Linked DNA regions of Saccharomyces cerevisiae S288C. Changing the gene in region 2 together with the main gene of any one other region gives a genetic interaction. Each region holds a gene or a part of one and is shown on either strand. Other genes may lie near its edges.

Evidence for each region.
Region 1: mutations in MST28 (region 2) and ECM22 together harm fitness more than expected from each alone (negative genetic interaction), as found in Saccharomyces cerevisiae (one large-scale study listed by BioGRID).

The regions. Positions count from the first base shown.
Region 1 is NC_001144.5:600,496-604,257, reverse strand, and holds the start of ECM22 (Ecm22p), read left to right. Parts: upstream 1-1,794; coding exon 1,795-3,762. Other genes in the region: Rho family GTPase CDC42, read left to right, coding at 1-46.
Region 2 is NC_001133.9:186,548-189,460, forward strand, and holds MST28 (DUP240 family protein MST28), read left to right. Parts: upstream 1-1,559; coding exon 1,560-2,264; downstream 2,265-2,913. Other genes in the region: pheromone-regulated DUP240 family protein PRM9, read left to right, coding at 289-1,185. UniProt on the Saccharomyces cerevisiae protein: Involved in protein trafficking vesicle formation, probably by stabilizing of coatomer at the Golgi membrane and thus allowing the efficient formation of COPI coated vesicles.

The DNA.
Region 1 (3,762 bases), on a different chromosome or scaffold from region 2:
GGAGCCTCCTGTTATCAAGAAAAGTAAAAAATGTGCAATTTTGTAGTCATATTAGTATATGCCCATCTTTTCTTAATCTATATCTAAAATTAACTTATATATACACCTTCCTATCCTTTTATTATCGTTGTATTTCATTTTTTCGCTTTGCTCAGAGTTGATTCTCTTTGTTTCTTGCGCCAGGATCATCCGTCTGTTCAAGGCGGAGTAGTGCAAAAAAGTCGAGCCGTCAAGCCCCAAACGTTCAATACTTCCATGTTCTTCAACGCTAAACGCGACATTTGCGAGTCCTACCACGTCTTCTCCGTTTACGGGCAAAAACACCTCTTAACATCAAAAATTTGGCTTTCGTGCTTTTTTCTGAAATATATTCGTTGCATAGACACGGTATGCATATGAAACATTCAGGCTAGCAATCAATACTTAAACCCTTTACGGGCGTGCATGATGTATCAGGAAACCAGTTTGAGAATGTCGCCCACCAAGCTCCATGGAAAGGCGCAAACCAATTACGCGGAACACAAAAATGGGCCTTTTTTTGATCGCCTCAAAGGCCGGACCAGGTTCGTTAAACGTCTGTAGAGGTGCCGAACAATTTTTGTCTAGAATAAATTTCCATTTTTCTGGCATTTAATTCTAGGCTTTCTGGTCTCTTTGTTCTTGCAGCTAGCCCATTGGGTGCTCTTCAAAATATGTCAATATCACCTTGATTTTGAAAATGCGCCCGTAAAATTGGACTTATGCTACAAATATATTCTACAGGAAAAGATCCGCAAGGTCTGCTTTAGCGTAAAAACGACCTCCCAGTATTTTATATAACCTCAGCCATTTCACTGAATGATACATAGTAGCATATATAGCTAGGCCTAAATGTATTTTTTTTTACAACTTTTTAGATCGCTGCGTGAAGGATGAAACTTCATATGAGTACGGACGTTTGAAAGGGTAGAGTGGCGCTAGCATAGAAATGCCATTTCTCGGAGGTGTCATCATTCGAAAAGAACTCAATTTTCAAGCGATTGAGATTCAAAGGCAAACCGATGCCTCCTCATTGGTCACATCTTCATGTAAACTGTGGCTGCTTTTTTTTCTAAATACTCTATGACTACAGCTTTCCTTTGTACAAACTCAAGTTTATTTAATCGTCTTTTTTAATGTTTATGTTCAACATACCCGAAACCACTACAAGACGGAAAATACTAGAGAAACATCAACAAATGAAAAAAAAAGGCTACAATCCTCGGATGAAACTGATAAAAACGAGCACAGTATATGCCGAGTCGTAGCATTTAACGTACTAACACTACTCGCCAAATCATAAGAGCTTCATGCTGACGTGTGTATCTATATCGCTTTTACAGATCCTGCAACCGACAGAGCCGAAAACGTAATTGGTGACTCGTTCCTCGTTCTTGTCGGAAAAATTTAAACGAGCGCGTTCGATAAACTCAACGAAGGCAAGTTTGAACAATAGATGTTGGTCGTAATCATTCGTTCTTCGACTTTTATAGCCTTTTTTTTAACTTAACGAACTCGTACTATCTAATAGTTTATTTCCCCTTGTTTTTTTTTGTTACGATTGGGGAAAAGCAAGGGTTCCCTGCGTCTACGATTACATCATCTACTAACTAGTCACCGAAATCGATTATCGTCGAAGGAGAAGCAACCAAGACCTCCACTTTTCAAAGGCACAAATAACATTTCGCCTTTACATAATATAGAGGAGTTAAGTCGACGGTTTTTTTCATTTAAGGTTTATATTTCGTTTATCCATAGATCTCCATCTAACATAACATGACATCCGATGATGGGAATGCTGGACAAGAAAGAGAGAAGGATGCTGAACTGATTGAGGTTGGGGGCAAGAAAGTGAGCAAGACTTCGACAGGGAAACGGAAGTTTCATAACAAGTCCAAGACCGGTTGCGACAATTGTAAAAGAAGAAGAGTAAAATGTGATGAAGGCAAACCATTTTGCAAGAAATGTACAAACATGAAATTGGACTGTGTTTACAGCCCTATTCAGCCAAGAAGAAGAAAAGATTCTTCGTCGTCAAAATTTGCATCAGCGGTCCACGATAGGGTAGGCAAGAAAAATCTGAGTGACAATGCCATCATGTTACAACAACAACAACAGCAACTTCATCATCAACAAGAACAGCAATTTCGTCAACAACAGCAAGTTCAGTTACAGCAGCAACTGTTGCCACATGTTGGTACTGATGAACAAAGCAATTCCCCTAATAGCGTTCCTCCATCCGTATCCAATAATATGGAGAATCTTTTGTTACCGCACCTATTAGCGAGTTTAGTGAATAACACCAGTAACAGTACCAACAGCAGTGCAAATGGAGCTGAAGCGCATAATAATATAACACAAACAGCTCCCAGTTCAATGATAAACAACAACCACCCAAACATGGCCCTACCAGGGAATTCGCCATTGAGTATACCGATAACACCTAGTTTTCAATCAACGGCCATGAATTTATCAAGTAGCCTTAACGGCTTACTCTCGCCTGGTAGGCTAAATTCGGTGACGAATGGATTGCAGCAGCCACAACTTCAACAACAAAATCAGCAAATTCCACAACAACAAGGAACACAGTCCCCCTTCAGCAATATTCCCTTCGACCAGCTAGCGCAATTGAACAAGATGGGCTTGAACTTCAATATGAAGAGCTTCAATACATTATTTCCATACGGTGCTGCAAATGGAATGGCCTCTGAGTTTCAAGAGTTATTTGGCCTCGGAAAGTTTGCTACATCTAATAACAGAGCAATCAAAGTTAGCACAGCAGAGGAGGCACTCGCAAATATGCAACAGGAACAGGAGGACAAAAACAAGCAATTTACGAAGAACCCATTGGATAATACTAAGACGGATGCTGTTAATTCGGGCAATAACCCCCTTAACGGAAACGAAAATAAAGTTACTGCTTCTGATATACTATCTCATAACAAAAACTTGATAATCGACAATACCGGTCTCACAATCAGTCCCCCACACACGTTGTCCAAACCTTCCATAGATCAAAACATTGCGTCCCCTTCAACGGGAGTATCCAATGTAACCTCTACAAAGTCATTGTTATCTATACCGGACAACAGGACCGCTTTGGGAAATTCTCCTACTTTGAAGACGTCCCCAATGGGTGACCTGTTATCCAACTCGGAGGCATTGTCTCCACGTTCATCAAATTCTCACACTCAACAACAATCTTCTCCCCATTCAAACGCTTCATCAGCCTCACGACTAGTCCCTGAATTAGTCGGGCTGTCTAGAAAATCAAATTTGAATTTGATAGATCTAAAACTTTTTCATCACTATTGTACTGACGTATGGCATACCATAACCGAAGCAGGCATTTCTGGTCCTGAAGTATGGAGCACTTATATTCCGGATTTGGCTTTTCATTTTCCCTTCTTGATGCATACAATTTTGGCTTTTAGCGCCACTCATTTGTCCAGAACTGAAGCCGGCTTGGATAACTACGTGTCTAGTCATCGTTTAGAAGCGTTGAGACTGTTAAGAGAGGCTGTGCTCGAAATTTCAGATGATAACACAGATGCTTTGGTGGCTAGTGCTCTAATATTAATCCTAGATTCATTGGCAAATGCTTCAAGCAGCTCACCAACGGCATGGATTTTCCATGTTAAAGGCGCCGTAACTATACTAACTGCTGTATGGCCCCTGTCGGAGACATCCAAGTTTTATAACTTAATTTCTGTTGACTTGAGTGATTTGGGTGAAGCTGTAATC
Region 2 (2,913 bases):
CAATCTCAAGTGAAGTATTGGCAAGATATTGGTGCAATTATTTGAAAGGAAGGAGAAATATTCTGACAGTACCTTGCTAGCAAAGGGATTTACCAATCCACTGACGCTAAAATGGGGTAGTAAATTAGATAAATTGCATTCTAACGTGACTTTATATAGTGGGAAACAGATATGTAGCACACAAAACGGCATGATTATGCTTAATTGATTCCTATTTTTTAACGTAAATACTCTCCCAGAACGATCAGAAAACTTAACCCGCAACCATCTTTGCTGTGCTAACAACTTATGTCGCCTCAATACCATTTTTATTTTGTATCATTCCGGAACTTAGTATTGAATGAAAAATGCCTCCGAAGTAAAAAGCAGGTGATGAAAAGTTTCAATTGGTATAAGACAGATCGCTATTTTGATCCGCATAACATCCTTCAACACCATAGCAGAGCTATAGAGAAGACAAGATATAAACTGGGCATGCAAACATCTTCAGAAAGTACCGACGCCAAGTCGGATTTTCTCGACGAACCCAGTGCATATTTAATTGAGAAAAATGTGGCTCTTCCCAAGGACATATTCGGTTCGTACTTAAGTTATTGGATATATGAAGTTACTCGTCATAAAGCGGCAGTAATTTTGCTCGTACTTATTGTGACTTCAATTTTATTATTAGTGTTTTTTTATAATACGGAATTTTGCGTTGCCTTTGAGATACTATTGTTTTCCTTTTGCTTTCCAGGAACATGCATGGTTGTAATTGCATTTAGTGAACCGATCGGTGATCGGGAATTTAAAGTTAAGCTTCTGATGGAAATTATCACACGTAAACCGGCGGTAAAGGGGAAAGAATGGAGGACAATTACATACAAGATGAACCAGTATTTATTTGATCATGGGCTATGGGATACTCCCTACTACTTTTACCGTGATGAAGATTGCCACCGTTATTTTCTAAGTCTTATTAAGGGAAGAACTTTCAAGAAGCAAAAGGAATCGTCAGCCAGCAATGTTAAAGACGCACAATCAAATGACGAAACCGCTGGCACACCAAACGAAGCCGCTGAGTCTTCTAGTTTTAGTGCCGGACCGAACTTTATAAAGCTCCTCACCAAGGCAGCCGAAATCGAACAACAATTTCAAAAGGAATATTGGCGACAAGAGTATCCTGGTGTCGATGAGTTTTTTTAGACAGAAGACGGGAGACACTAGCACACAACTTTACCAGGCAAGGTATTTGACGCTAGCATGTGTCCAATTCAGTGTCATTTATGATTTTTTGTAGTAGGATATAAATATATACAGCGCTCCAAATAGTGCGGTTGCCCCAAAAACACCACGGAACCTCATCTGTTCTCGTACTTTGTTGTGACAAAGTAGCTCACTGCCTTATTATCACATTTTCATTATGCAACGCTTCGGAAAATACGATGTTGAAAATGCCTCTAGAGATGAAAAACAATCGTAAAAGGGTCCTGCGTAATTGAAACATTTGATCAGTATGCAGTGGCACAGAAACAACCAGGAATACTATAGTCATAGGCAATACAAGGTATATATTGGCTATGCAGACCCCTCCAGAAAGTACCGACGTCAAGTTAGATACACTTAACGAACCTAGTGCACATTTAATTGAGAAAAATGTGGCTCTTCCTAAGGACATATTCCGTTCGTACTTGAGTTATTGGATCTATGAAATCGCTCGCTATACACCAGTCATGATTTTGTCCCTGGTAATAGGGGTTTTGGTTTTATTAATTATATTTTTTAATGACAACGAAGCTTGTGTTTTCAATTCTGCAATATTTGCTTTTACTTCTCTTGTAGGTTTGTTAATAATATTAAGTGATGGTAATCCAAAGCTAGTCAGTCGTCGAAATTTTAGGACCGAGCTTTTAGTGGATGTCATCACACGTAAACCGGCGGTAGAAGGGAAAGAATGGAGGATCATCACATACAACATGAACCAATATTTGTTTAATCATGGGCAATGGCATACTCCGTATTACTTTTACAGCGATGAGGATTGCTACCGTTATTTTCTACGCCTTGTTGAGGGAGTAACCCCCAAGAAGCAAACAGCCACGTCAATTGGCAATTCTCCGGTCACCGCTAAGCCTGAAGATGCCATCGAGTCAGCTTCTCCTAGTTCCAGACTGAATTATCAAAACTTTTTGCTCAAGGCAGCGGAGATCGAACGACAAGCTCAGGAAAATTACTGGCGAAGGCGGCATCCCAATATCGATGCGCTTCTTAAAAAGACGGAATAGCTTAGAGACACTACCATACGTAAAGCGAACATAAACTAGAGTATGATATATAATCAGCACTAACTGGCCGGAAAACGGCCGAAGGAAGCCTCGAAAAGTCGATTCGTGTTGGACCCATTTGCTGAACAAAGTGGTTCATTGCCTACCTATTATGGTAGTAGTCGTGATAATCGTGTGGTTGGTTTTGTCAACGGTGCATTTGCATTTTCATGACAATAAACCTTGCGTTTTCGTTCTCGGGATATTACTTTCCCTCCACTTCTTTCGCCTCAATAGCTCCTATAAGCATTCTCAGGGCGTATGTCGGTGATCGAGATTTCCAAGCAAGCTTTTAGTGGAAATCATCGCGCGCAAGCCAGCGGTAAAGGGAAAAGAACGGAGGACGATTACATACAAGATGAACGAATAAATAAATTAATAATAAATAATAATAAAAAGTACAGTAGCATTAAATATTATTAAGTTTAATGATTAAAAATTGGTTAATTGTCAAGAAAATCTAAGGTATTAATAAATAAATAATACTATGACAACTTGCAGCGAAAGCATCAGCCCCAATGAAAATTAATCAGAATTGAATCTGAGCGTATTTATTTGATAACGGTTTACGTAACTGTTGGAATAAAAATCAACTATCATCTACTAACTA